4 linked regions of the Anolis sagrei genome follow. Each later gene encodes a partner of the first gene's protein in a complex. Links are inferred from orthologs where the notes say so. Each region holds a gene or a part of one and is shown in the gene's direction. Other genes may lie near its edges. The genes, in order: GTF2F1, GTF2A1, POLR2K and GTF2H4.

The links.
Region 2: GTF2F1 (region 1) and GTF2A1 share a complex: the UniProt entries of both Homo sapiens proteins name them as parts of the TBP-based Pol II pre-initiation complex. The link is inferred for Anolis sagrei from reciprocal best matches to the Homo sapiens genes GTF2F1 and GTF2A1.
Region 3: GTF2F1 (region 1) and POLR2K share a complex: the UniProt entries of both Homo sapiens proteins name them as parts of the TBP-based Pol II pre-initiation complex. The link is inferred for Anolis sagrei from reciprocal best matches to the Homo sapiens genes GTF2F1 and POLR2K.
Region 4: GTF2F1 (region 1) and GTF2H4 share a complex: the UniProt entries of both Homo sapiens proteins name them as parts of the TBP-based Pol II pre-initiation complex. The link is inferred for Anolis sagrei from reciprocal best matches to the Homo sapiens genes GTF2F1 and GTF2H4.

Annotation. Positions count from the first base shown.
Region 1 is NC_090022.1:159,537,762-159,545,345, forward strand, and holds the start of GTF2F1 (general transcription factor IIF subunit 1), read left to right. Parts: upstream 1-4,401; 5' UTR 4,402-4,474; intron 4,475-6,671; 5' UTR 6,672-6,721; coding exon 6,722-6,733; intron 6,734-7,584. UniProt on the Homo sapiens protein: TFIIF is a general transcription initiation factor that binds to RNA polymerase II and helps to recruit it to the initiation complex in collaboration with TFIIB. It promotes transcription elongation.
Region 2 is NC_090021.1:309,778,736-309,786,391, reverse strand, and holds the start of GTF2A1 (transcription initiation factor IIA subunit 1), read left to right. Parts: upstream 1-4,604; 5' UTR 4,605-4,918; coding exon 4,919-4,948; intron 4,949-7,656. UniProt on the Homo sapiens protein: TFIIA is a component of the transcription machinery of RNA polymerase II and plays an important role in transcriptional activation. TFIIA in a complex with TBP mediates transcriptional activity.
Region 3 is NC_090024.1:31,136,195-31,143,703, reverse strand, and holds the start of POLR2K (DNA-directed RNA polymerases I, II, and III subunit RPABC4), read left to right. Parts: upstream 1-4,205; 5' UTR 4,206-4,284; intron 4,285-6,171; 5' UTR 6,172-6,177; coding exon 6,178-6,238; intron 6,239-7,105; coding exon 7,106-7,198; intron 7,199-7,509. UniProt on the Homo sapiens protein: DNA-dependent RNA polymerase catalyzes the transcription of DNA into RNA using the four ribonucleoside triphosphates as substrates.
Region 4 is NC_090022.1:24,318,582-24,326,594, forward strand, and holds the start of GTF2H4 (general transcription factor IIH subunit 4), read left to right. Parts: upstream 1-4,649; 5' UTR 4,650-4,738; intron 4,739-4,955; 5' UTR 4,956-4,987; coding exon 4,988-5,118; intron 5,119-8,013. Other genes in the region: VARS2 (valine--tRNA ligase, mitochondrial), read right to left, coding at 63-184, 1,601-1,701, 1,857-1,941, 2,874-3,113. UniProt on the Homo sapiens protein: Component of the general transcription and DNA repair factor IIH (TFIIH) core complex, which is involved in general and transcription-coupled nucleotide excision repair (NER) of damaged DNA and, when complexed to CAK, in RNA transcription by RNA polymerase II.

The DNA of each region.
Region 1 (7,584 bases):
AGTGACTGGACTGACCTTGAGGGAGCTGGGGGTGGTAACGGCCGACAGGGAGCTCTGGCGTAGGCTGGTCCATGAGGTCACGAAGAGTCGGAGACGACTGAACGAATGAACAACAACAACATTGTTAATTTAAGATGGACAGATAGATAGATAGATAGATAGATAGATAGATAGATAGATGATACAGATACATATATAGACACACATGAATACACACCTAGCCTAGTCTATGGTGTGAGAGAAGATGAGAAAGAAACAGATCTTCCTTCACAGGATGACTCTTCCAATGTAAAGAAAAGCTGAAGGTGAAAACTAAAGTCGAACCTTTAGGGCAACACAAGGTAAGTATGGAGGTGATGATGAATCTTGGAGGAGCGAGCACGCCTTGACCTTTCTCCCAACTCAAGCTTTGTCTTCTGCAGTTCAGGTTGAGTAGCTCTTATCTGAAACCCTTGGGACCAGTAGTGTTTTGGGATTTTGGATACACACATAATGAGATAGCTTGGAGATGAGAATTCTAAAAAGGGAATTCATTTGTGTTTCATACACACCTAAGGCATGTCACCTGAAGGCCATTTTATACAATACTAGCCGTCCCCTGCCACGCGTTGCTGTGGCCCACATGGGGGTTCTGTGTGGGAGGTTTGCCCCAATTCTATCATTGGTGGAGTTCAGAATGATCTGTGATTGTAGGTGAACTATAAATCCCAGCAACCACAACTCCCAAATGTCAAGATTCTATTTTCCCCAAACTCCATCAGTGTTCACATTTGGGCATATTGAGTCTTTGTGTAGAGTTTGGTTCAGATCCATCATTGTTTGAGTCCACAGTAATCTCTGGATGTAGGTGAACTACAACTCCAAAACCAAAGGACACTTCCCACCAAACCCTTCCAGTATTTTCTGTTGGTCATGGGAGAACTGTGTGCCAAGTTTGATTCAATTCCATTGTTGTTGGGGTTCGGAATGCTCTTTGATTGTAGGTGAACTATAAATTCCAGCAACTACAACTCCCAAATGACAAAATCATTTTTTTAAGTGAAGGACATACATTGGATTGTTAGGTGTCTTGTGTCCAAATTTGGTGTCAATTCGTCCAGTGGTTCTTGAGTTCTGTTAATCCCACAAACGAACATTACAATTTTATTTATAACTCCAAACAAAGATAAATAAATAGATACCGTATTGTTTTGTCCCTGAAACTATGAAACAATGTGTGTACAATCAACTCATAGAATGGAAGCCTTTTGCAATTTCAGCTATCTGAGTGGACAATTTTGGATTTTGAAGCATTACAGGATACTCAACCTGCACAGGCAGTCCCCAAGTTAGAGACAAGGTAGGTTTCTATAGGTTTGTTCTTAAGTTGAATTTGAATGTAAGTCGGAACAGGGATGTTTGAAGTGTAACTCCAACCAAAGATAAATAGATACCGTATTTACTTGATTCTAATACTCACCTTTTTATCTATATAAATAAAAATGTAATGTTCGTTTGTGGGATTAACAGAACTCAAAAACCACTGGACAAATAGACACCAAATTTGGACACAAGACACCTAACAACCCAATGTATGTCCTTAACTCAAAAAATTATGAATTTGTCATTTGGTAGTTGTAGTTGCTTGGATTTATAGTTCACCTAAAATCAAAGAGCATTCTGAACTCCACCAACCATGGAATTGAACCAAACGTGGCACAAAGGACTCCCATGACCAACAGAAAACACTAGGAGGGTTTGGTGGGCATTGGCCTTGAGTTTGGGAGTTGTAGTTCACCTCCATCCAGAGAGCACTATGGACTCAAACAATGATGGATCTGGACCAAACTTGGCACAAATATTCCATATGCCCAAATATGAACACAGATGGAGTTTGGAGGAAATAGACCTTGACATTTGGGAGTTGTAGTTACTGGGATTTATAGTTCACCTACAATCAAAGAGCATTCTGAACCCCACCAATGACAGAATTGGGGCAAACTTCCCACACAGAACCCCCATAACCAACAGAAAATATTTAAGGCCATCCAGTCCAACTTCCTTCACCAGGGCAAGAAAATGTAATCAGAGCCCTCCTGACAAAGAGACATCCAGCCATAGATATAGATATAGATATGATTCACACACACACACACACACACACACACACACAGATATAGTATCATAGATTTGAAAGAGACCCCTAAAGGACAATGATATGTTGCATATTCCAGAGTAGGCAAACCAGACACTGTCCACATCAACACTGACAAAGGAACAACAAGAAATACTGTTTACCCACAAGCATCAAGACATTATATATATTAGAAACCAACACTTTCTCATTACTTTATTTTCCAGATCACCAGACTGGGCCACAGCAACGCGTGGCAGGGGACGGCTAGTCTATATAAATAAAAATGTAATGTATATTTGTGGGATTAACAGAACGCAAAAACCACTGTGGGAATTGACACCAAATTTGGACACAAGACACCTTACAACCCAAATGTATGTCCTTCACTCATAAAAACACTGAAAAACACAGCAGAAGGGACTTAAAAAAGCCCCAAAAAGCTAAATGACAAAAAGCTAAATGACAATACAGAAAAAAGGAAGAGGGAGGGAAGGGGAGAAAAAAAGAAAGAAAGATGGAAAGGGAGAAGGAAGCATGGAAGCAAAGAGAGAAGGAAGGAAAGAGGTAGAGAAGGAAGCAAGGAGAGAAAGAGGAAGGGAAAGAAAAAGGGGGAAGGAAGGAAAGAGAGAAGGAGGGAAGGAGACAAGGAAAGAAAAAAGGGAAAGAATGAACGAAAGAAAGAGAAGGAAGGGGGGAAGATGTAGAGAAAGAGGGGGGAAGGAAAGAGAGAAGGAAGAAAAGAGGGAGCAGAAGAGAAAGAAAAAGGGGGAAGGAAGGAAAGAGATACAGAAGAAAGAAAGGAGAGAAAAAGGGAGGGAAAGAAAGAAGGAAATGGAGATGGAAGCATGGAAGCAAAGAGAGAAGGAAGGAAAGAGGTAGAGAAGGAAGAAAGGGGAGAAAGGGAGGGAAAGAAAGGAAGGAAGAAGGAAGCATGGAAGCAAAGAGAGAAGGAAGGAAAGAGGTAGAGAAGGAAGAAAGGAGAGAAAGAGGGAGAGATAGAAAGAAAGAAAGAAAAGAAAGAAAGAAAGAAAGGGAGAAGGAAGCATGGAAGCAAAGAGAAGGAAGGAAAGAGGTAGAGAAGGAAAAAAGTAGAGCAAGGAAGCATGGAAGCAAAGAAGGAAGGAAAGAGGTAGAGAAAGAAGGAAGGAAGAAAGAGAAGGAAGAAAGAAAGGAGAGAAAGAGGGAAAGAAAGAAGGAGGGAAAGAAAGAAAGAAGGAAAGGGAGAAGGAAGCATGGAAGCAAAGAGAGAAGGAAGGAAAGAGGTAGAGAAGGAAAAAAGTAGAGAAAGGAAGCATGGAAGCAAAGAAGGAAGGAAAGAGGTAGAGAAAGAAGGAAGGAAGAAAGAGAAGGAAGAAAGAAAGGAGAGAAAGAGGGAAAGAAAGAAGGAGGGAAAGAAAGAAAGAAGGAAAGGGAGAAGGAAGCATGGAAGCAAAGAGAGAAGGAAGAAAGAGGTAGAGAAGGAAGAAAGGAGAGAAAGAGGGAGGGAAAGAAAGAAAGAAAGAAAAAGGAGAAGGAAGCATGGAAGCAAAGAGAAGGAAGAAAAGAGGTAGAGAAGGAAGAAAGGAGAGAAAGGAAGCATGGAAGCAAAGAGAAGGAAGGAAAGAGGTAGAGAAGGAAGGAAGAAAGAAAGAGAAGGAAGGAAGGAAGGAGAGAAAGAGGGAAAGAAAGAAGGAGGGAAAGAAAGAAAGAAGGAAAGGGAGAAGGAAGCATGGAAGCAAAGAGAAAAGGAAGAAAGAGGTAGAGAAGGAAGAAAGGAGAGAAAGAGGGAGGGAAAGAAAGAAAGAAAGAAAGAAAGAAAAGGGAGAAGGAAGCATGGAAGCAAAGAGAAGGAAGGAAAGAGGTAGAGAAGGAAGAAAGGAGAGAAAGGAAGCATGGAAGCAAAGAGAAGGAAGGAAAGAGGTAGAGAAGGAAGGAAGGAAGAAAGAGAAGGAAGGAAGGAAGGAAGGAAGGAGAGAAAGAAGGAAAGAAAGAAGGAGGGAAAGAAAGAAAGAAGGAAAGGGAGAAGGAAGCATGGAAGCAAAGAGAGAAGGAAGGAAAGAGGTAGAGAAGGAAGAAAGGAGAGAAAGAGGGAGGGAAAGGGGTAGAGAAGGAAGAAAGGAGAGAAAGAGGGAGGGAAAGAAAGAAAGCATCAACTCTGCACCTGGAACAAATGCCATAGAAAATCATCCAAGACACAAACTCTCTGCCGGATTGTTGATTTCAGAGTTCGCGGGCGCCCCCTGCCGGCCGCCAACGCCTCTCGCAGGGAGGAATAGAATAGCTGCACTCGGCTACCGGAAGTGTGTTTGGTGGCCGCCGGCTTCCGGCGCATGCGCAGTGGCGGCGGAACAAGAGGAGGCTGAAGCTGCCTAGAAGAGGGTGAGTCTTTCATGGCGCTGCTGTCTTTTGTGGCTTTGGTTGTCCCCAAACTCCCTTTCCCTTCCCTCCAGACTAGAACCAGGCATCCCAGCCTGGCACAAGGAAAGGGGCATTAAGAACAGCCAGCGATTGCGTTTGGGAGGCTCCCCTTGCCCTCTTTTCTTCCTCCCTAAGGCTTTGAAAGGGAATTGACCGGCCTTTAAGCCAGGGATTTGGCTCTCTCTCTGGCCAACCAAGTGTAATGCTAATGTGGTTTGACACCCCCCCCCCCACCCTTTTACCTGCCTTGGTCCAATGTGTGAGAGTTAGAATCACAGAATAGAGTTGGAAGAGACCGCATCTAGTCCAAGCTGCAGCCATGCAGGAAAAGCACAATCAAAGCACCCCTAACAGATGGCCTTCCAGCCTTTGCTTAAAAGCCTCCAAGGATGGAGTTTCCACTACACTTTGAGGCAGAGAACAGCTCTCATAGTCAGGAAGTCCTGCCTCATGTTCAGGTGGAATCTCCTTTTCCTCTCATTTGAACCCACTGCTCCATTGAGTCCTATTTTCCAGGGCAGCAGAAAACAAATCTGCTCCCTCTTCCTCATGACACCCCTTTCACATATTTATAAACGGCGATCATGTCTCCTCTAAACCTTCTCTTCTGCAGGCTAAACAGACACAGCTCTTTAAGACGCTCCTCATAGGGATTTATGTTCTCCAGACCTTTGATCGTTTTAGTTGCCGTCCTCTAGACCCACCCCAGCTTCTCAATATCTCTTTTGAACGGTGGTGGCCAGAACTAGACACAGTGTTATTCCAGGTGAGGTCTAACCAAAGCAGAATAGAGAGGCACCATGACTTCCCTGGATCTAGACACCGTGCTTCTTTTGATGCAGCTCAAAATCCCGTTGGCTTTTTTAGTTGCTGCATCACACTGTTGGCTCATGTTCAACTTGTTGTCCACAAAGACTCCAAATCTTTTCACATGGACTGTTGTTGAGCCAAGCACCCCCCATTCTCTATCTTTCTATTTCATTTTTTTCTGCGTAAGTGGAGTATCTTACATTTGTCCTTATTTAAAATCATTTTGTAATTTTTGTCCCAGCTCTCTAATCTGTTAAAGTCCTTTTGAATTCTGATCTGTCCTTGGAGTATAGACTATCCCTCCTAATATGGTGTCATCTGCAAACTTGATAATCACGCCCTCTAAACCTTCAACCAAGTTGTAGTTTTTCAAGGCCTTCTCGGCCAAAGAGTGCTGGGGCCTCATCAAAATACAGTTCCCAGGACTCCATAGTATTGAGCCATGGCAGTGAAAAGTAAGGTCCCTTCTCCACTGCCATATAATAAAGATTATCAAAGCAGATAATCTGAATTTTATATGGCAGTGTAGAAGGGGCCTAAGTGTCGAACTGCCTTCATGTAGTAGATGCACCCTTACAGTCAGATGCCCAGTGTTCTGGCTTAAATATATCTATATGTATATTCAGATGTGAGTGTCCTATATATCTATATATATAAATTGCATACAACCCAGGGCCCTCCCACACAGCCATATAACCTAGAATATCAAGGAAGAAAATCCCACAATATCTGCTTTGAGCTGGGATATCTGAGTCCACACTGCCATATATCCCAGTTCAAATCAGATAATGTGAGATTTTATTCAACTGATATTATTGTTGTTATTGTTATATTTATACCCCGCTTTATCTCTCCCAAAGGAGACTCAAAGCAGCTTAACATAAAAGCATTAGCATACAATTTAAAATATACAAATATGCAAACATAAACATTTTTAAAATCAAAGTTAAAATCAATTAAAACATATATATGCATATTTAGGAAACATAAACAGATTATGTGTTTAGGCTTGGGCTCCATCTCCAAGATGTGTCCAAATTCTAAAACACTTCGGGTCCTATACATTTAGGCCTTTACTCACTGGAGACATTTTGTCCTTTTAAAAGAAAATCTGCTCCGACAAAAGGCACTCCACACTTCTCTAGATATTCCTGGAGTGTCAGAATTTGAGGCAGCAAAATGTGGCAGTCCTTAGTGATGTTTTTCCTTGTTGCTCTTTTCCCATTTGGTATTTTCAGTCCTCTCTCCCCTCTGCCATCATTTTCTCCAGTGCCTCTGCTGACTTTCTTTACTCACAGAGCTTTTGCTCATCCTGTTTAACCTGATTATTTCATTCTTTCGCCTTCAGGTCAGTATTTTACCAAGTCATTGCTGAGTACCTGCACTGCACATCCAGAAATGACTTCTTTGGTGAGTTCCTTTAATCTTGGGGTTGTTTGAAATGCATGTGACCTCTTAGAGGTTCCTAGTAATCGGCAGCATCCAAAGTACTGTAAAACTAAATAAAAGTCTATGTATGAATGTATGTATGAATGTTGGTTTGTCTGTTTGTACCACAAAGGTTCTTACATGGAACTGGACCAAACTTGGCACACATACTCTTCATTATCCATCTTGAAATAGTTGAGGGATTTGAACTAAAAAACAAAACAAAACACCTCTTTCAGGCCCAGAGCAGAGAGAAAGAAAAAGGTCAAAGTGGATGATGTGGCTAGATGAAGGATTGCCTCTTTGTAGATGAACTGACCCTCTGATGCCACTGGGAAAGAAAGAAAGGGAGTGAAATGGTTTGGCTCCTGCTAGATGAAGTATGTATGAGGAAAAGGAAGGGAAGGAGAAAAAAGCAAAATAAGAGGAAGGAGAGAGAATGAAAATGGAAAAAATGAGGGGAGGAAAGAAAACGAAAGAAGTGAAGAGAAAGGAAGGGACGAAGGAAGGAAGAGAAGAGAGAAAAAGTAGGGAAGAGGAAGCAAAGAAGGGAAAAGAACAAGAATGGAAGGAAAAGTATATGAGGGAATGCAAGGGAAGAAGAAAGTAAAAGAGAGGGAGAAGATGCATGAGGGAAATGGAGGAAGGAAAGAACAAGCTACAAAGAGAGCCTACCTAACACAGCCAGTGTTGCCATGGAGACATTATGAGGTCAGCCTTCTTAGAGCTGGAGAAAGGAGGTAGGCAATAATCCCAATGACACTCAGGCAATGCCAGGTATATACACTAGTAGCCCACTATTTCCCACCGTACTATATTGTCCCAAATTGAGA
Region 2 (7,656 bases), on another chromosome or scaffold:
CACAGAATCACAGAGCTGGAAGAGACCATAAGGTCCAACCCTATTCTGCCATGCAGGCACACACAAGCAAAGCACCTCTGACAGATAGCCATCCAGTCCCTATTTCTACACACTTTTACAGACGGAGTCCCATGGAGCCCATCATATGATGCTACTTCCATATGTAAACTGTTTCAAAAATGTACAGAAACTGAGGTTTGTGGAATCGGGGAGCAATTGTCTTCAGAGCTCCCAATTAGTGCGGAAACAGCTGAACACATTTAATTTAATGTGGGATGGAATGTTAGAATATCACATTGAGGAGGGAGCTAGTTTCTAATGGTCTAGCGAAGGGGTCCTCAAAATTTTTAAACAAGAGAGCCAGGTCACAATCCCTCAAACTGTTGGAGGGCCGGATTATAATTTGAAAAAAAAAATGAATGAATTCCTATGCACACTGCACATATCTTATTTGTAGTGCAAAAAACACTGAAAAACAATACAAAAATTAAAATGAAGAACAATTTTAAGAAATATAAAATTATTAGTATTTCAATGGGAAGTGTGGGCCTGCTTTTGGCTGACGAGATAGGATTGTTGTTGTTGTTATGTGTTTTCAAATCATTTCAGATTTAGGTTGACCCTGAGCGAGGGCTGGGTAAATGACCTTGGGGGGGGGGGCTGTAGTTTGAGGACCCCTGGGCCTTAGTTTGAGGACCCCTGCTCTGGAGTCTAGGATATAGAGTAACGGGTTCAAATGGCAGGGGGAGGGGGGGAAGATCCCACCTAAGCTTTAGGAAGACTTTCCTTGCAATAAGAACTATCTAGCAGTGAGATGGATCTCCTTCCCTGGAGGTTTATAAGCAGAGGCTGGATGACCATCTGTCAGGGGTGCTTTGATGGTGTTTATGCAAGGGGGAACGGGGCTAGGCTGCATGGCACTTGGGGTCTCTTCCAACTCTAGTTTCTAAAGACATTGAGAGTGGAGGGACAAAGGGGGTATTAGAAACGTCCCTTATTTCCCCCCCTATATAATAATATAATATATAAGGGGGGGCTGGTGGCGCAGTGGGTTAAAGCACTGAGCTGCTGAGCTTGTTGACCAAAAGGTCGCAGGTTCGATTCCGGGGAGCGGCGTGAGCGTCCGCTGTCAGCCCTAGCTTCTGCCAACCTAGCAGTTTGAAAACATGTAAAAGTGAGTAGATCAATAGGTACCACTCTGGCGGGAAGGTAACGGCGCTCCATGCGGTCATGCTGGCCACATGACCTTGGAGGTGTCTATGGACAACGCTGGCTCTTCGGCTTAGAAATGGAGATGAGCACCACACCCCAGAGTCAGACATGACTGGACTTAATGTCAGGGGACAACCTTTACCTTTATATAATAATCATCTTAATAATCTTTGTTTATATTCCGCCCTATCTCCCTAAGGAGACTCAGGTCGGATTCCAATATAAAAAGGCCAACATTCAATGCCTGACACAGACAACACATACAAATACAATACAAATCGTTCCAAGCGGTCATGCCGGCCACATGACTTTGGAGGTGTCTACGGACAACGCCGGCTCTTCGGCTTAGAAATGGAGATGAGCAGCAACCCCTTCAGAGTCGGACACGACTGGACTTAATGTCGGGGGGAAACAATTACCTTTAAGATACAAATAATCCAAAAGCCAAAATAGACCAAAATATATATGGCGCCCTTTTTGCGGAGGAAAGGAAAAGGAAGCCGACAGGAAAGACAACGTGTCATTTTATATCGCATAACACCGGCCGTAAGGAGGGAGCGCCGTCCTTTCCTGGCTTGGCTCCTCCTTTTGGACTTCAGCTCCCAGAATGCCTGGCAATTGGCCACGCTGGCAAAGGCCTCTGGGAGTTGAAGTCCCCGCCAAGAAACCTGGCTGGTGAAAGAAAGATATGTAGAAACCGCGTTCTCTTTCTGGAGACGCTCTACCCTTTGCGACTCTGTAGCCAGGCTTCTCCACTGAAGAGCGGGAAAGTAGGCCGAAATGACCAAAGAGGACTCACAGTGTTGGCCTTATACAGATGCCTGAGGAGTGGCGGCCCTCTAAAGTTATTACATCTATGGTCATTTCTCTCAGGGCCCTTCCACACAGCCCTATATCACAGAACATCAAGGCAGCAAATCACACATTATCTGAATGTGGACTCAGATAACCCAGTTCAAAGCAGATATTGTGAGATCTTCTGCCTTGATATTCTAGGCTGTGTGGAAGGGCCCTCAGATTTAAAGAGCGGGAAGGACCATTGAAGTAGGCCTCATCACGGTGTCCGCTTTCTATACCTGAGGAGTAGCGGCACTCTAACGTTACTACCTCTGTGGTCATTTTTCACAGCCTTAAAAAGAGGGAAGGATTGTCACAGTGTCCACTTTCAATGCCTGAGAAGTTTGTTGTTGTTCATTCAGTCGCTTCTGATTCTTCGTGGACCAGCCCACACCAGAGCTCCCTGTCAGCCATCGTCACCCCCAGCTCCTTCAAAGTCAAGCCAGTCACTTCAAGGATACCATCCATCCATCTTGCCCTTGGTCGGCCCCTCTTCCTTTTTCCTTCCATTTTCCATTGTCTTCTCCAAGCTGACCTGTGTTCTCGTGACGTGGCCAAAGTACTTCATCTTTGCCTCTAATTTCCTTCAAATGAGCAGTCAGACTTTATTTCCTGAAGTATGGACTGGTTGGATCTTCTCGCAGTCCAAGGCACTCTCAGAACTTTCCTCCAGCACCACAGTTCAAAAGCATCTATCTTCCTTTGCTCAGCCTTCCCTAAGGTCCAGCTCTCACATCCGTAGGTGACTATGGGGAACACCGTTGCTTTAACTATGTGGGTCTTCGTTGCCAGTGTGATGTCTCTACTCTTCACTATTTTATCCAGATTGGTCATTGCTCTCCTCCCAAGAACTAAACGTCTTCTGATTTCCTGGCTGCAGTCTGCGTCTGCAGTAATCTTTGCACCTAGGAATACAAAGTCTGTTACTATCTCCATGTTTTCTCCCTCTATTTCCCAGTTATCAATCAGTCCGATTGCCAGAATCTTGTTTTTTTTAATGTTTAGCTGCAACCCAGCTTTTGCGCTTTCTTCTTTCACCTTGATTAGAAGGCTCCTCAGCTCCTCGCTTTCAGCCATCAAAGTGGTGTCATCTGCATATCTAAGGTTGTTAATGTTTCTTCCAGCAATTTTTACCCCAGCCTTGCATTCATCAAGCCGTGCACAACGCATGATGTGTTCTGCATACAATTTGAATAGGTATACACCCTGATGTATGACTTTCCCAATCTTGAACCTGTCTATTGGTTCAAGATTGGGAAAGTTCTTGGTCAGTTCTTACTTCGCTGAACCAGCCACGTTGTCCGGATGCCCAACCACCGTCTCCCAAAGCAGTTGCTCTGCTTTGAACTCAAGAATGAAAAAAGGAATGTTGACGGGCAGGAAAAGAGTTTTAAAGAAGGGCTCAAAGCCAACCTTAAAGACTCTGGCATAGACACTGAGAACTGGGAATCTCTGGCCTGTGAGTGCTCCAGCTGGAGGTCAGCTGTGACCAGCAGTGCTGCAGAATTTGAAGAGGCACGAATGGAGGGTGAAAAAGAGAAATGTGCCAAGAGGAAGGCGCGTCAAGCCAACCCCGACTGGGACTGCCTTCCACCTGGAAACCAATGCCCTCACTGTGGAAGATGATGCAGAGCAAGAATAGGGCTCCATAGTCACCTACGGACCCATCCTGGAAGATTATCCTACTTGGACAAGGGATCGCCAAAAGTAAGTCTTACTGTTGCCAATTGGTCTTTATACAGATTCCTGAGGGCCTTATACAGATGCCTGAGGAGTAGCGGCGCTCTAAACATTACTATCTCTATAGTCATAGTTTATAGTCTAGAAATAGCTTTCTAAGATCTACAGAGACACTCGCTGGAACACCTCAGCAAGCGAGAGTCCAAAAGTGGCAGGCTCAAACCCAGAACCTCAACCAATGGCTGATACCAAATGAGAGAAGACTGGGCGACTTGGAAGGCGCTGAACAGACTGCGCTCTGGCACCACGAGATGCAAAGCCAACCTTCAGAAATGGGGCTACAAAGTGGAATCCACGACATGTGAGTGTGGAGAAGAGCAAACCACTGACCACCTGCTGCAATGCACCCTGACCCCAGCCACATGCACAATGGAGGACCTTCTTGCAGCAACACCAGAAGCACTCCAAGTGGCCAGATACTGGTCAAAGGACATTTAATCAACTACCAAACTTGCAAATTTTGTATTTTGTCTGTTTGTTTGTTTGCTTTGTTCTGTTAGAAATGTAATACAATTGACTGGTTGCCCTGACACGACAAATAAATAAATAAAATAAATGGTCATTTTTCTCAGCCTTAAAGAGCGGGAAGGATTATCATACTGCTGGCGTTGTAGGCCTGAGAAGTGGCAGCGCTCTAAACGTTACTACCTCTATGGTCATTTTTCTCAACCTTAAAGAGCGGGAAAGCGGGGATGAAGCGACCAATCAGAACTCTCCAGGAGGCGAAGGCGGAAGTAGCTGGGCGGGCGCGAGGGAGGGGGATGGCGAAGTCCCGCTCCTTCTCGCGAGGCTTCCCGCCCCTCCCTTCCTCGGCCTCCCCCTTCTCCCTGGCCGCTCGCGCAGCGTCTCGGCACTCGCTATATAAAGGGGCGAAGCGAGCGGAGCGGGCGGCTGGCTGGCTGGCGGCTGCAGCCCAAGGGCCGCCGTCTGAGGGCGGTCCGGTGATATAGAAACTTTAAAAAAAGCGGGAGCGGCTTCGTAAGGGGGCTCTCAGGCCGGCTGAGGAAGGAGGGGGGCCGGCTGGGGAAGCAACAACAACAAGAAACAAACCCGAGGGAGGGAGGAGGAAGGGGGGGGGGGTTGGTGCTGCCGCCTTGAACGGTAGATTGCTTTCCCTCAGGAAAGGGCCATGGCGAGCTCGACTAATACAAACCCCGTGGTAAGGAAGGAAGGAAGGAAGGAAGGCGAGGCGGGAGGGAAGGCCTCAGGATGGCGCGGGAGAGGGGCGGGAAGGGGGACTGGGGACTGGCTGATCTGCAGGGCGGGAAGGAAGGAAGGAGAGCAAGAAGGAAGGAAGGGGAGCTGCCCCGTGGCCTGCTTTGCACCCAAGGACGGGAGTGGAGGAGAAGAGCCGCCTAGTTGCCCTCTTTCCCCTTCCTTTTCCTCATGTGTGTGTATATAACCCAAGCATGGGCAAATTTGGGCCCTCCAGATGTTTTGGACTCCAACTCCCATCATTGCTAACAGCCTCAGGCCCTTTCCTTTTCCCCCTCAGCCGCGCTGAGGGGGAAAAGGAAGGGGCCTGAGGCTGTTAGCAATGATGGGAGTTGGAGTCCAAAACACTTGGAGGGCCCAAGTTTGCCCAGGCCTGATATAACCCCATTTGCTCCCCTTTTAGCCTCTTCTGCTGGACGCCAAGGTTGAAAAGCACTTTGAATTCTCAGCCCGGCAGAGCAATATTTCCTTCTGAAGAAACAACTCTTTGGTCCTTTACTCATCTTATCCCCCTTTTCCCTTTTAACCCCCCCCTCCACCTTTTTTCTATAACTCTGTCCAATAGTGATGGCTTTATTCATCTTATCACTCTTTTTCCTCCCCCCCCCCCCTTTTTCTATATCTCTGTCAAATTGTTCTCTTTAACCTCCCTCCTCTTTTTTATTTTTCCTACATTTTCTGTTTTGAACTGCCAATATATGGTATTGTATATCCCAGTTCAAAGCAGATATTGTGGGATTTTCTGCCTTGATGATCTGGGTTATATGGCTGTGTGGAAGGGCCCTGGATGAAGAAACCACTCTGTACTGCTATCCATCGTCTTGTCTTTCTTTCCACTCCTTTTCTAGATGCGGGCAGTTCAGTATTTGTCTTTCCATCTCCTTTCCCCCCCTCTTCTGAAGAAATCACTCTTTCCTGTTGTTTTGTCTTCATCTTATTTCAGGCCCCTTTCGTATCCCCCCCCCTTCCAATTTTCTTCTTTGAACTGGGATATATGGAAGTGTGGACTCAGATAACACAGTTCAAAGCCGACATTGTGGGATTTTCTTCCTTGATATTCTGGGTTATATGGCTGTGTCTTCTCTTTCTTCAGTTCATCTTCTTTCTGTCTTTTCTTTCTTCAATCCAGTCCAGTATTTCTTTTTTTCTTCTGAAGGAATTCATTTGTTCTCCCCCCCCCCTTTCCGATTTTATTTATTCATCTTTATCATTTTACACACTTCGTTTCAACTGTTTCTTTCCCTCTTCTCTCTCTCTTAAATTTTTCTTTCCGGATCCCCCCCACAACCCCGGCAGTCAAATGCTTTTTGTCTTTCCCTCACTCTTCCTTTTATTTGTAAAGAAAGCCACTCTTTTCTCTACCAGTTATTGTATTTATTTTTGTGTTGATTACCAGGCACACTTTTCAGGATCTCGGTTTCACATCGGTTTGCAATAAGCAGTCACACGAAAGAAAGAAAGGAGAAAAAAAATACCCTGCCCCTCCCTGATTTTTTTATTGTTTACTACATTTAAAGAAAAAAAAATACAATCTAAACTAAATGCACTTTTTAAAAAAAAGCCCTTTCCAATCCCCCCCCCCCCCTTGCAAAATAAATCGCTGCTTGACAAACCCTTGAGTCCAGGCGGCTCTCATTTTGTGCTCTGAGATCCATCATGGCTTCCCCTTGCTTTTCTCTCTCCCTGCTCCTTGTGTTCCTCCTCCCTGTGGCTGCCCTGTTTATATAGAGCCATTGCCGCTCTCTAATATAGACTCTGCCAGGATGGGAAGGTGCTTTCCAGCCCCACGTCACCGCCTCTCCATTTAAACACCAGATCAGCCTTTAAATAGGGAGAGAGCTGCGGAGAGCAGGCTGGGAGGTGCCTGCGCAGCACAAGCAGAGGCTGGGAAAGCGCTCTCTTTGTCGCTGGGAAGCTGCAGCATTGCACTATTCGCAGCAGCAGAGCTTTTCTATTTGAGTTGGTGTTTTGTGAGCTGGTGCTCTTGATTTTATTTGCGGTTCTTCTACTTGGACACCCGTTAGCTTTTCTTATTTGTTTCGCTTAAAGCATTTTTTGTGTTGTGCTTGTATGCAGTGAAACAAATGTAAGTGATTGGGTGACTATAAGAACTAGAAATTGCAATCTTGGCTAGTAAATGTGTTATAAAAACATTTCGGTTGTCAAAGTCATCTATTTATTGATGTGTAATTTTTTTACTGATTTATCTCTGTCCTGAAGTGCAATATGAAAAGAAAGTGGTCATTTTTCTCATCATTGAGGTGTTGAGGCTTGAGCTGATTCCTAAACTAGCAGAAAGTGTTGAGACAGTGTCTAGTTGAAAACAGTGCTACTAAACTGTTCTTAATACTGGCTATTTTTTGAATTTCAGTGCTTAGTCCCACTGATATTAATTGGACTTGACTGGATTAGAACACATTACTTTTTTGGTTTAAATTGTGATTTCTAGGTTTTGAGGGATTAAAAGGCAAGAACTTGGATAACGTTTCTGCTGCAAGAGTTATTACAATATGTAAAATACTCTCTTGATATATTATAATCTGTCACAGAAATGCAGAATGAATTTAGCATATCTAATAATTTTCAAAGTCAAAGAGCTAATACTCTTTAAAACATTACACAATGAATTATCATTATATTTTTAAGATAAAA
Region 3 (7,509 bases), on another chromosome or scaffold:
CAGAGTATCAATACAAACAGGTTTGATTGATACTAATATTTTCCACACCTCAATACAAATTAACTCATAAGCGAATGCCATTGTTTCCAATGAAAGCTACTTCCAGGTAAGTGTATACTATAAGCTTGTAATGTTAACCACTCAGAATATTTTCCTCCAGTTAGTATTAAGAGATGCTCTTTTAGTATAATACTCAGACCTCACAACCTCTGAGGATGCCTGCCATAGATGCAGGAGGAGAGAATGCTTCTGGAACATGACCATATAGCCTGAAAAACCTACAACAATGCAGTGATTCCAGCCTTCCACAATACATTGAGTTAGTAAATGCTGGCTGTGTGAAATTCCCATCCTTCAAAGCAGGACAACTTACCAAATTACTTGGAAGACCAGCAATTGCTTCAAATGAAGTGCTTCATTATTATTGGAGGAGGGAAAGTAAAACAAAGAAACCAATAACCCCCCCCCCCCAAGAGAACTACTAGTAGTAGTATCCTAACTAATTAATAAGTTAATTTGAAGCAAAGCATGGAGTTCACACAAAAGCAATGAGCACTGAGTCTAGTAACATTCTATGTGCGTTCTTCCTTCCTTCAGGAGCAGGCAAGGGGACAGACACAACTCTTCTCATGACACAACCAGCTGGAGAGTCACTACAAGGGCGTTGAAAGGAGGCAAGAGGAGGAGGAGGAGGAAGAGTGTGCCCAATGGAAGGGGGGTTTAAAGCGGGGAGGGAGAGGATGGTGTCCAAGGAGCAGCGCTGAACTCCTTCCCAGCGTTGCCTCGGAGAAGAAGGGAGAGCTCTGCAAAGAAGCATCAGCAGCCACTTCTCCTCTTCTTCTTCTTCCTCTTCCTCCCTGTTGCTTCAACCGGCTGCCCTCGTGCGCCTTCCTCCTCAGGGTTTCCCTCGCTCCATTTTGAACTACCCGCCTTTCCCAACTGATTAGGCTTCTCCCCTCCTCTTCCTCCTCCTCTTTGGCTGCCAAGGAGAGGAAGCCACAACAAGAAAGCCCAGCCAAGAAGGCAGCAGCAGCAGCAGCAAAGCGCCCAAGAGGCTTTCCTGCACTTCTTAGAACTGAGCCAGGGCAGTGAAAGTGACCTCAAGCTACATTGTTCCTACAATGTAATCCACAAATGTCAAAGTCATTGTCATTTTTGTTTGTCGAAGGCTTTCATGGCCGGAATCACTGGGTTGCTGTGAGTTTTCCGGGCTCTATAGCCATGTTCCAGAAGCATTCTCTCCTGACGTTTCGCCCACATCTATGGCAGGCATCCTCAGAGGTTGAGGGGTCTGTTGGAAACTAGGCAAGTGAAGATTATCTATCTGTGGAACGTCCAGGGTGGGGAAAAGAACTCTTGTCTGCGGATGTTGCAGTTGGCCACCATGATTAGCATTTAACAGCCTTTAATTGCAGTCCAACACACTTCTGGTTCTCATGTTGGGGAAAGGATAAGAGATATTTTCAAGTCAGACATCATATCCATAAGCTTTATATCTAAATTCAAACCCTTTTTCTCCAAACTAAACAGAACGAATTGCAGCCTTCCAGATGCTACTGTATCACAGTTCCCATCAGCTCTAGTCATGATGTCTCAAGAGGAGGAATGCAGGTATTGTAGCCCAGTGTCTATCAAAACACAGATGCACCCAAAGAATTGGTGATTTATTAAGGGGAGCCCCCAGTGGCGCAGTGGGTTAAAGCACTGAGTTGCTGAGCTTGTTGATCGAAAGGTCGCAGGTTCGATTCCGGGGAGCGGCGTGAGCTTCCGCTGTCAGCCCTAGCTTCTGCCAACCTAGCAGTTCGAAAACATGCAAATGTGAGTAGATCAATAGGTACCGCTCCGGCGGGAAGGTAACGGCGCTCCATGCAGTCATGCCGGCCACATGACCTTGGAGGTGTCTACGGACAACGCTGGCTCTTCGGCTTAGAAATGGAGATGAGCACCACACCCCAGAGTCAGACATGACTGGACTTAATGTCAGGGGAATACCTTTACCTTTACCTTTACACCAGGCATGGCAAACTTTGGCCCTCCAGGTGTTTTGGACTTCAACTCTCACAATACCTAACAGCCAGTGCTGTTAGGAATTGTGGGAGTTGAAATCCAAAACACTTGGAGGGCCAAAGTTTGACCATGCCTGTTTTACACTGTACAATTAATGCAGTCTGATACCACTTCAACTTTCAAGGCTTATGGGAATCATATTTTTCCAAGGTCCTCAGCCTTTTCTGTCACAGGGCTAGTGCAGTATCAAACTATAACTCCTATGATTTCATAGCATTGAGCCATAGCAATTAAAATACTCTCAAATATGTTAGATAAGAATGGGAATCACCTCCTCCTCTTTTTAAAGGTGTGATTGGCCCTCCTTTGGGCCAATGGTGAGGAAAGCTGAAAATTGGAATCCAGTAACATGTGGGGTTCATCTGCACTTAATACAGATATATCCCATGTGTTGCTGGTGGGTTTGACACAACTTTAATGACTACGGTCCAATGCCACGGAGTTGTAGTTGCTGGGATTTATAGTTCACCTACAATCAAAGAGCATTCTGAACTCCACCAATGATGGAATTGAACCAAACTTGGCAGACATAACTCCCATGAGCAACAGAAAATCCTGGAAGGGTTTGGTGGGCACTGACCTTGAGTTTTGGAGTTGTAGTTCACCTACATCCAGAGAGCACTGTGGACTCAAACAATGATGGATCTGGACCATACATGGCACAGATACTCAATATGCCCAAATGTGAACACTGGTGGAGTTTGGGGGAAATGGACCTTGACATTTGGGAGTTGTAGTTGCTGGGATTTATAGTTCCCCTACAATCAAAAAGCATTCTGAACCTCACCAATGATAGAACTGGGCCAAACTTCCCACACCAAACTGTGTTTTCTGATGGTCTTTGGTGACCCCCCCCCCCAGGGGTCCCAACCCCTAGGTTGAGAAACGCTGCTCTACACTATAGGATTGATGTAGTTTGATACCACTTTAACTGCCAAGGGCTCAGTACTGGGAATAATTTATTTATTATTTATTTAGAGCTTTTATAACCCTGTCTTCTCAACCTCTGAAGAGGGACTCCGGCCGGCTAACAGCAGAAAAGCTACCTATCTAACCGCATCTCGGCCTATGAACCTACCAGGACTTTGAGATCTTCCGAGGAGGCCCTGCTCTCGATCCCGCCTGCTTCTCAAGCACGGCTGGCGGGGACGAGAGATAGGGCCTTCTCGGTGGTGGCTCCTCGGCTGTGGAACGCCCTTCCTACCGACATTAGACTAGCATCATCTCTAATGGTATTCCGCAAAAAAGTGAAGACCTGGCTGTTTGTGCAGGCGTTCGAATAACTAGTGCAATGATTGGCAATGTACATAGGAATGGACAATGGATGACGAATCTGGATTATGTTTTGGACGATGAGACGATAGTGATTGGTTATTGTAGTAATTGTTTATTGATTGGGTAATGTGTTAAGTTGGTAATTGTTACATTATTGCATTGAATTATTGCTGTTTGTATTGATTGTGAACCGCTGTGAGTTGCCTTCGGGCTGAGAACAGCGGTATATAAGCAAAGTAAATAATAAGTAAATAAATAAATAAAAGTCAACACAAATATAGTAAACATAACAGCATCGTAATACATTAAAATACAGATCATACAATATCATACAAGTACAAAAGTCAGGTCGTCAGAATAAAATCACAATAAAATCATGGAAGTTGTAGTTCGACAAGGGCTTTAATCTCCTCTGCCAGACTGCTCGGTCCTCATGATTCCAGAGCAATTAGTCATTGCAGTTAAAGTGGTCTCAAACTGCATTAATTTGATAGTGTAGATACACCTAAAAAAGCCTAAAGCTTTCACTCTGATGTGAAATTGTAGTTGATATTAAGGGCCCTTCCAAACAGTCATATAACCCAGAATATCAAGGCAATATCTGCTTTGAACTGGGTTATCTGAGTCCACACTGCCATATATTCCAGCTAAAGCAGATAATGTGGGATTTTATTTAGCTGTGTGAAAGGAAGCAAAGAAAGCAACTGCTTCTTTAGTAAAGGTTAAGTTGCCAAGGCAAAGAAAATCAGTGTTAATTTTCAGCCTGTCCCTTTAAGAAAACATCGGAGAGGAGCAAATTCAAAACGCCTCCATGTGTCTGAATTGGAAAACTACTCCTAATGGAAGGGGCGGAGCTTAGGGTTTCTCTCCCCTTTGCAGAGCTTTCAAACGTCATCAGACTGCGCCGTCAGAGGAAGGAGTGCATGAGTTGTGCACGAGCTGGTAGGGCGCATTGTTTTCAATCAGATTGTTGATGGGAATTTTGTTTAGACGGGGCTGAAAGGGACTTTGGAGCACTTTAAGAGCATCTACACCAGGCATGAGCAAACTTGGACCCTCTAGGTGTTTTGGACTCCAACTCCCACCATTCCTAACAGCCTCAGGCCCCTTCCTTTTCCCCCTAAGCCGCTTAAGCGGCTGAGGGGGAAAAGGAAAGGGCCTGAGGCTGTTAGAAATGGTGGGAGTTGGAGTCCAAAACACCTGGAGGGCCCAAGTTTGCTCATGCCTGGTCTACACTGGATTTGAAGCAATTTGACACCACTTTTAACTGTCATGGCACAATACTATAGCATCAGGGGAGTTATTTTATAAGGTCTTCAGCTTTCTCTTCAAGATAATGCTGGTACCTTAATAAACTACATCTCCCACGAGTCAATTATATGGAGTCGTGACATTTAACAGTGGTATCAAACTGCATCAATTCTGCTGTGTAAATGCACCCCCCAAAAATGAAATTGATACCAGTTGAATAGCTCTTATTTGAAATGTTTGGATCCAGAAATCTTTTGGAGGAGATTTTGGAATGTCCGTATTTGCATAGGTGTACATAAGAAGACCTTGAAGGAGCTGGGGGTGGTGACGGCCGACAGGGAGCTCTGGCGTGGGCTGGTCCATGAGGTCATGAAGAGTCGGAGACGACTGAACAAATGAACAACAACAAACATAACAAGATCTCTTTCAGCCCTTCCGCACGACCATATAACCCAGAATATGAAGGCAGATCACCCACAATATCTGTTTTGAACTGGATTATTTGAGTCCACGCTGCCATATAATCTAGTTCAGTGTGGATTTTATACTACTGTGTGGAAGGGGTCTTAGAGATGGGACCCAAGTCTGAACATGAAATTCATTTGTGGGTTGTTGTAGGTTTTTCGGGCTGTATGGCCATGTTCTAGAAGCATTCTCTCCTGACATTTTGCCTCTGACATCCCCCTGTGACCCCCAGGCTGAAGAAACGCTGCTCTACATTATAGGATTGATGTAGTTCGATACCACTTTAACTGCCAAGGCATCCTCAGAGATTATGATGTTCAGACCTCACAACCTCTGAGGATGCCTGCCATAGATACAGGTGAAACATCAGGAGAGAATGCTTCTAGAACATAGCCATATAGCCCGAAAAACCTACAATGACCCAGTGATTCCAGCCATGGAAGCCTTCGACAATACAAATTCATTTGTGTTTCGTATAAGCCGTTTAGACAGTTTGTATATATTGAACCAGCAGAAAACAAAGGCACTGTTATTTCAACTGCCCTTGAAAACAGTTTGGATTTTAGAATTGCATATAAGGAATGCTGAACGTGTACCATAAGTTTTCACAAATTGGGTTGTTGTAGGTTTTTTCAGGCTGTATGGCCTCTAGACCATGGCCATACAGCCCGAAAAAAACCTACAACAACCCAGTGATTCCGGCCATGAAAGCCTTCGACAATACATTTTCACAAATTGTCTGCTTCCTCAGATGCATGGATTCCTTGAAAGTCCATGAAAGTTTATGCCAACCTTGTTCTCTTAGGGCCCTTCCACACAGCCATATAACCCATAATATGTACTTTGAGTTGGGTTATCTAAGTCCACACTGCCATTTATCCCTGTTCAAATCAGTTAATGTGGGATTTTATTCAGCTGTGTGGAAGGGGCTTCAATGAGACTCTAAGATGCTCCAAGATCTCTTTGCATATATGTTGAGTCTCATTTCCCTCTCTGGGCTTCTTCTTTGTAAACACATTAACAGTAAGATTGAAGGATGTTTGAAGGGCTGAAGGACGCTCTATGTGTTTGAAAGCTGTAATTGGTATGAATGAGTTGTCTTCCTTTTACTAGCAGAAGATGGACACCCAGACTGATGCACCTCCACCAAAGCAGCAACCAATGATATACATCTGTGGAGGTGAGTCCAGTGCAATGTCATTGTAGTAGGAAGAAGTCTGAAAATGAGACCCAAGAAAGTAGATGAAAATGACATCAAGGGTACTTCTAGAATACATTTTCACTCTGAAATTGCACTCCCTCTTTCTGGAAGCTTATGGGAGCTCTAGACAACAATGTCTTATATTTGTATCCTCCAGAAATAAGATTTGTTTCTTCTACCTTTCCTCATCTAAATTCCTTTAAGGATTAAAACAGAATAGAAGCACAGCTACTTTCATTCACTGGAATTATTCTGCTAAATCATTTGGGAAATTATTATTTGGGTATTGTGCTTATGATCATGGCCCAAATTGTCTTTAGGTAAATGAAATCACACAGCATTAAGTCATGGCAGCTAAAGTGGTGCCAAACTACATTTATTCTACAGTGTGTAGATGTATTCTTTTCTGGGCGTACTGCAGCTGCGTTGTTTTGCTTTAACATTTATCTGGTGCATACTCTCTACTACAAATCCATGTACTATCAGTGCACTGTGGGAAGGATACTAGTTTGTGTTTCAAAGACTGTAGTTCATGGTATATAAATATATTGTGTGAGCTGCATTGAGGATACTAAAAAACTCCTATATTAATGTATTGTTTTAACAAATTCCAACTTGTGAAATGTTAAGATTCTTTCATAATCACAGTGAACTTAAATTTATAGACTATGATGAGAGGTTCTTAATTCCACTATTTTAGTAAATAAATCAGTCAAAATCTGTACTTTTAAACAAGAATGTTTAAAAATTATAAAATGTCAAGTGCTTCTGTTGCTTTATTCTCAGTTCTTTTGCAGTTGGTTTCCAGGATTGGCCTCATAATGTAATTCTTTTTCTTCATTTCAGAATGTCACAAAGAAAATGAAATTAAAGCAAGAGATCCTATCAGATGCAGAGAATGTGGTTACAGAATAATGTACAAGAAAAGAACAAAAAGATGTATCCTTCTATATGTGTGTCTTCCTTGCTTTATTTTCATACACTGATTCAGACTATATGAACTTCTAACATTCCTTTAGGCTGCAATGTTATACAAGTGTAACAACAAAGATTCATGGGGCATTTCTGAGTATATATGTTTAGGATTGCACTGTAGCCTTGATTTTATACTGATAGTCTCCATTCATACAGAGAGATCCATATTTATGCCAGGTTTGCACTTCTGGACTTGTGAAGTAAATTGTGATTATTCTAAATGAGGAGAATCAGTAGCCCAGGGGATAACTGAAAACAACAGAACTAAAGTAGCC
Region 4 (8,013 bases), about 140 Mb from region 1:
CATCATTCTTAGAAGGCAAAGAGCCTATAACCATTTCCCATGCTCTCTAGAACTTGACTTACCACCGTACCAAAGCATCTTCAATAGCCACAGTTAAAGCATGACCCAGGTGCAGGGACCCTGTGACGTTAGGTGGAGGAATAGAGAGAGAAAATGTTTCTGGCTTCCGATTCGGCAAATGATGCTGCCAAAAGAAAGAGAATGAGATCAGCATTGGCTGAAGTCAGAACAACCCTCACTAGACAATGAACTTTCAGGGCCCCAGAGATTGGATTATTAAAGCCCCTTCTATACTCCCATATAAATTCCAGATTATCTGCTTTGAACTGGATTATATGGCAGTGTAGATTCATATACTCCAGTTGAAAGCAGATAATGCAGATTAACTGATTTGATAATCTGGATTATATGGCAGTTTAGAAGGCACCTACCTGTCATGAGAATATAAAAAAAGTCCACCTTCTAAAATTCTGTAACCAACCAGATGTTTTGTGGGAAATCAAGAAGCAGAGCATAAAGCCGATAGCATCCTTCTGCTGTTTGTTCCAAATTACAGATTTAGTCTCTCTTATCTAAAATGTTTGGACCAGAGATTTTTAAAATTATTTTGGTTTTTTAAAAAAAACTGTACTTGTATATGCATAGTGAATGATGGGTGGGGGAAGGGGGCTAGTTACACATCCAGCCCTCACTGACCTTTTATCAAGAAGCTATTACTTCACCACAGTCAGAACCTTGACAGATAAAAGGAAGTCGAAAGGACTCCGGATTCTGCTACTACACTTACACAAAGTCCTTGTAAGAAGCAAACATCAGGGAAGGCAAAGTCTAAATGAATCTGGCTGCTACAGATTCAGGGGATGTTTCAAAGCCCCAGCTGGCCAGCCAATCTTGCCCCATTTCCAGGGCACCCATCCCACAGTTAGCCCGGTAGAAGGAAACATGGCATCAGTTCTCAGACAGTTGGAGCTTTGCAACATTTTCTGAGCTGCAGCAGCTGGATGCATTTGAAAGTATCCCTCCCCTGACACCTGTCTTTTTACAGGGGTTTGTTTAAGTCCAACAGTAGAATCCAGAGTCCTCACTCTTCTCTTTCCTCCATCAAATTTCTAATTGTTGTGTAGCACACACACTACTTAATACAGGAACTTAGCGACTACAGCAAGCAGCTGCTAGGAATTGTGGGAGTTGAAGTTCAAAACACCTGGAGGGCTGAAGTTTGCCCATGCCTGAACTACAACAACCTCATCCATCCTCTGTTTAAATGCCTCCGGCAAATGACAGCCTGCCAACTCCCGAGCCCTTCTTTCCACTGTCCTACAAAATCTAAGCATTACAGTAAAGATGGATATGTAATCATCTCTTGTTGGACTTTAATTCCCATCAATCCTTGCCATCATAGTCAATGGTAAGAGTGTCACCTATTCCAAAACCTATAGTGAGGGGGCCAAATATTGTCCTGATTTGTTTTTTTCCAACTCATGCTTCATCTTCCAACTCAGTATTCATCCTTCTGTTGGTTCAAAGGAGAACATTCCCCTCTCATTTATTCATGAGGATGCTTTTCTAATACAATTAGATCACAGAAACAAATTTCTACCTGGTATTCTGGTTTGAAAAATCCTTCTTTCACCCACCAAGCATACCAAGCAGCTTCAACATAGCGTGGGCTATAGGAGATGGGCAGAGGCCCCGAAGTGTCTGTGGAGGGAAATGCAATCAATACAAAGACTCCATCATTACAACAAGCATTTGCACATTCCACACACTTAAAATTTGTACAAATCTGGGTTTGTTATTGTATATCTTCAAGAACTTCCTGACTTATGGTGGCCCTAAGTCAAACCTCTCCTTACCTTTCTTTTCACCAGCTACGGTTGGGATGTCATACAGAGCCATGTCTCTTGCTCTTCTGCCCTTTCCTTGGCTTGGATGCTCATCCTGTGAAGAATAAAAACAGGCACGAAAGAAAACTCCTGCCCTGTGTTTGAGAGACCTATGCATTGTTAAAAGCTGATGTCATGACAAGTAACTATAATAATAATTTATTTATTTGACTAGTTATATGACCATTTCAAAATACAACACGAATAAAATACAAGGCAAAAAGGAGAGGACAGCAGCTGACCTTCTATTTAAAGTCAGAATCTTATTTTCCTGGTTCTTCTTTCAAGTAACTATAAAAATCATGTTGATAAGCCACTGTACATCACAGCTCTGAGGGTATATCTGCACTGCAGAATTAATGAAGTTTCATACTCCTTTAACTGCCAGGGCTCAATGCTAAGGAATCATGGGAGTTATAGAGACAAACGATAACACCAATGATTCCTTAGGATTGAGCCCTGGCAGTTAAAGGAGTATGAAGGAGTTATAGAGTCTCAGAAGCCCCAGTTGGCGCAATGGGTTAAACCTTTGTGCTGGCAGGATTGATGATGGACAGGTCAACAGTTTGAATCTGGGGAGAGTGGGTTGAGCTCCCTCTGTCAGCTCCAGCCTCCCACAAGGATGGTAAAACATCAAACATCCGGGCATTCCCTGGGCACCGTCCTTGCTGATGGCCAATTCTCTCACACCAGAAGCAATGTGCAATTTCTCAAGTCGCTACTGACACACACACAAAAAAAAGAGTCACAAAGTCCGTAGCCTTCTCTAAAGGTGCTGTTGCAAACAACAACTCCAATGATTCCACAGCACTAAGTCATAGCACTTCAAGTGGTGTCAAAATGCATTAATTTTACAGTGTAGATGCACCCTGAGAAATGGGCAGGATAGGAATCAGATGCTTAAATACATACTCGTTTCTGTTAACTCTAAACTTAATCAGATTTGTCCACAATGAGTAGTTGGGCATCATAACCTGCTTCACTCACCTTCATCCCAGCAGTCAGTCCAGCTTCAATGGACGCCAGCCTCTCCCGCTGCCGCTTCTGTTTCTCGGCCCTATTTTTCAAATGGGCCGTTTTCCCCACTTGACCGTGAGGTTCCTGCTTGTTGGCTTGGGAGTAATTCCTCCAGTGGGCAGGAGCATCCCAATGCCTCTTGTGAAGCCGAAGAAGCAGACGGCAGACAGAACACATATTTCGGCCAGGATTAAGTGATGGTGATGGCATGCTTGGAAGTGGAAGCTTTCAATTGTCGCAAAATCTTTTCTTCGCTAATAAAACAAACCAGAAATTACATATTTAAGTAGGGGAAATCCAACAGGTCAAACTCACCAGCTATGCAGAAGTTTGACAACGGGGAAAACAGGGGATGGATTTTGTATTAAAGGCACCTGAGCCTCTGTTCAGAGGCTGAGATTGTGTGAGTTGCTCAAGGACCCCCAGTGCTTTTCTATGGCTGAACAGGGATTCAAACTTTGGTATTGCAGTTAATAAAGGTGCATGAACATTGCAGAAATAATGTAGTCTGACAACTTTAACTAAAAAAAATCATTAATATTAATACTATTATCATTAATAATACTATTATTAACACTATCTTGTTGGTTTGTTTTTGTTGTTTATTTGTTCAGTTGCTTCCGACCCTTTGTGACCTCATGAACCTGTTCCTGATTTGAAAGTGTTATTTTCTGTTTAATGGTGCGATGCGTACTTTGAAAGTTTCTGGAAGTCCACCTTCTAATCAAGGTGGTCAGTTGAAACATTCACACCTAGCTCCAGCAGACAAGAGTCCTTTGTCTCACCCTGGTCATTCCACAGATATATAAACCCCTTTTCCTAGTTCCAATAGACCTCACTACCTCTGAGGATGCTTGCCATAAATGCAGCCGAAACGTCAGGAGAGAATGCCTCTAGACCATGGCCATATAGCCCGAAAAAATCTACAACAACCCAGTGATTCTGGCCATGAAAGCCTTCGACAATACATTCTCACTGTTACTATTATTAGGTGCCGCCGGTGGTGCAGTGGGTTAAAGCGCTGAGCTGCTGAGCTTGTTGACCGAAAGGTCACAGGTTCAATTCCAGGGGGCGGCGTGAGCTTCCGCTGTCAGCACTAGCTTCTGCCAACCTAGCAGTTCGAAAACACGCAAATGTGAATAGATCAATAGGTACCACTCCGGTGGGAAGGTAACGGCGCTCCATGCAGTCATGCCGGCCACATAACCTTGGAGGTGTCTATGGATAACGCCGGCTATTTGGCTTAGAAATGGAGATGAGCACCACACCCCAGAGTCAGACATGACTGGACTTAATGTCAGGGCACAACCTTTACCTTTTATTACTATTATTCTCTCAATCAGTCTCAAGGCAACCAATAAGATGCTAAAAACAATACAAAACCATAAAACGTTATGCAAGTTTTAAGAAAAATCTTTACAAAGAAGATTAAACCACACACACTGACTGCAAGCAGGAGAAAGCAGGCGGGCGGCCAAAGGGAGTGTCTACACTGTAAAATTAACCCAGTTTGGCACCCCTTTGTACTGTCAGGGATGGAGGCTATGGAAAGCTAGGGTGTTGTCGCTTTACAAGGCTTTCTCTGCCCAAGAGAGCCGGTGCCTGGCCAACCTACAGCTCCTGGGTTTCTATAGCTGGTCCAAGTGGCGCCAAATTCCTTTCATTCTGCACACACCTGCATCAGACCCCATGGAAGGAGAGGCTTGTGCTGCTTCTCTGTGGTCGCTTCCGGGTGAGGTGCATGATGGGAAATGAGGCGGGCTGGACCGGAAAAGCCAGGCAGAGAGGAAGAGGAGCAGAGGGATAGAGCCTCGCCTGGAGCATCCTTCCTGAGGGTGAGGCTGAAGGCCAAGGATGGGGAAAGGGAGAATCAAAGAGGCACTAAAGCAAGCCTGGGCCAACTTGGGCCCTCCAGGTATTTTGAACTTCAACTCCCACAATTGGCTGTTAGGAATTGTGGGAGTTGAAGTCCAAAACACCTGGAGGGCCCAAGTTGGCCCAGGCCTGCTTCAAATGCATCTAACTATCTTTCACCTTTTGTTGCCACATCAGAGATGTCCTAGCCACAAACTGGACTTTTTCGCATGGAGTCGGTGATGAAGCTCCAGAAGGTGCACTTGAAATGCAAGAATCTGCACGAATTCCTGCGAGGCCTCAGTCCTGGGGTCTTGGATCGCCTCTACAATCACCCCGCTACTTGCCTGGCTGTCTTCCGGTGAGTGTGAAGCCCCCATGTTTCCTCTTATCTGAGTGCTGCTCTTTCACCGGTCTGAGATTGGAGAAGACATAAAAACTTCGCTATGCTTCATTAAAAAATATAGCCCTTCTGATTCACAGGTTTTTGTAGCACTAAAGCTGCATAAACTGTAAATGCAATGCACTTTAAAGAGTGTGTTGAATGCACTCAATACATACAGTGTAGCAAACTCATCTAACCACTTCATCACGCTAGAGCAGTGTTTCTCAACCTCCCTAATGCTGCAACCCTTTAATACAGTTCCTTATGTTGTGGTGACCCCCAACCATAAAATTATTTTTGTTGCTACTTCATATCTGTAATTTTGCTACTGTTAAGAATTGTAATGTAAATATCCCTCCCATACCTTTTCCTATTACTCTCCCAACCCTCTATCCCAATTCTTTCCCATTTTATGTATACCTTGGAAAACTCAATAAAACATAATTTTTTAAAAATCTAATATGTAGGATGTATTTTCATTCACTGGACCAAATTTGGCACAAATACCCAACATGCCCAAATTTGAATACTGGTGGAGTTGGGGAGGGATTGATTTTGTCATTTGGGAGTTGTAGTTGATGGGATTTATAGTTCAAAGAGCATTCTGAATTCCACCAATGATGAAATTGAACCAAACTTGGCACACAGAACTCTCATGTCCAACAGAAAATACTGGAAGGCTTAGATGGGCATTGACCTTGAATTTTGGAGTTGTAGTTCACTTCACTTTATTTCTTAATTAGTCGTTCTCCACCAAGGCGGTCTGAGCGACTTACAATTTAAAATAGCATTTATACAATATAAAAACATTCAACATAAAAACATACAACAGTGACTATTTGGCAAATTAGATCTGATCACTTTACTTAAATGCACAACCACCTACATCCAGAGAGCACTGTGGAGTCAAACAATGATGGATCTGGACCAAACTTGGCACGTATATTCAATATGCCCAAATGTAAACACTGGTGGATTTTGAGGAAATAGACCTTCACATTTGGGCATTGTAGTTGCTGGGATTTATAGTTCACCTACAATCAAAGAGCATTCTGAACTCCAGCAATTATAGAATTGGGACATACTTCCCACACAGAACCCACGTGACCAACAGAAAATACTATGTTTTCTGATGGTCATTGGTGACCCCTCTGACACCCCCTCATGACCTCCCCAGGGGTCCCGACCCCCAGGTTGAGAAACGCTGCACTAGAGGGGGGGAAATCCACTTAAAATCTGGTTTCTGCCTCATGCAGACTTCTGGGGTTTGTAGTTTAGTGAGGCTGTCAAAGGCTCCTCCCTAAACTACAAACCCTAGAATTCTGCAGTAGGTAGAAACCGAATTTTAAATGGATTTTAAGTGTCTGTATATTGTTTATACAAAGTGGCATTGAATGTTTGCCGTGTATGCGTACTGTGATCCACCCTGAGTCCCCTTTGGGGTGAGAAGGATGGAATATAAATATTGTATTATTATTATTATTAATTCAAACTTGGCTCTTCGAGCAAGCATTCGGAACCCCGGAGTAAAAAGACAAACTAGAGTTGGAAATTGACCCAGGAACGGCCAAGACAATGTAACGGATGAAGATTTGAATGAGAGGACATAGTCTCTTTTTAAATTGTTTATTATGTACTGTCATTTATGTTTAATTGCACTTGATGTTTTTGCTTTATCAATGTATGTATTTTGTTTCGGCATCAAATTGTGCCGACTGTGTATACCGCCCTGAGTCGCCTTCGGGCTGAAATGGGCAGGATTGAAATAATATAAATAAATAAATAAATTCAAACACAACAAGATGAGTCCACAGCAGACAAGATCACTCTGCTGGCTGTTGTATTGGATCACACATCGGACACTTCCCAAATGTCTAGGACTGTGTGATGTATCGGCAAATAATGCATGCAGATCCCAGTAAGGTGGCCTTCTGCAGTTGGCAGATGGTAATTTTGTCAGCGCCGATTGTGTTTAAGTGCAGGCCAAGGTCGTTAGGCACTGCACCCAGTGTGCCGATCACCACTGGGACCACCTTTACTGGCTTGTGCCAGAGTCTCTGCAATTCAATCTTTAAATCCACATATCATGTCAGCTTCTCCAGTTGTTTCTCTGCAATCCTGCTGTCACCCGGGATTGCGACATCAACGATCCATACTTTGTTTTTTAACACGATCATGAGGTAAGGAGTTTTGTGCTCCAAAACTCTGTCTATCTGAATTCGGAAGTTCCAGAGGGGTTTGTCATGTTCATTTTCATTATTATTATTATCATTATTTTCGCTAGTGTGATTAGCCCTTTAGCATGCATCTACTCTGCACATTATAGTTTTGCAAAGAATTTAACCTCCTCTTCCAAAGAGTGCTGATGTCTCATTGAACTACAACTCCTAAGATTCCATAGCATTGAGCCATGGTAGTTAAAGGGAATTCAAACTACATTAATGGTACAGTGTATCAGTGTTTTCCAAACTGTGGTCTTCCAGGGCCCCATCCACACAGCTGAATAAAATCCTGCATTATCTGCTTTGAACTGGAATATATGGCAGTGTGGACTCTGATAACCCATTTCAAAGCAGATATTGTGGGATTTTCTGCCTTGATATTCTGGGTTATATGGCTGCATGGAAGGGCCCTAGGTGTTTTGGACCTCGGCTCCCAGAATCCCTGGTCGTTGCCCAATTATTATTATATTTATTTATTTATACTCAAAGCGGCTTTTCATAAAAGCATCAGAATACAATTTAAAATATGCAAACATTAAAACAGGATTAAATATAAACAGTATTTAACAATTCCCAGTTAAAAACTATTGAAGCAGTGCAGCTGAGGTTTCTGGCAATTGGGGTCAAAAGCTCTTGGAAGACTAGAGTT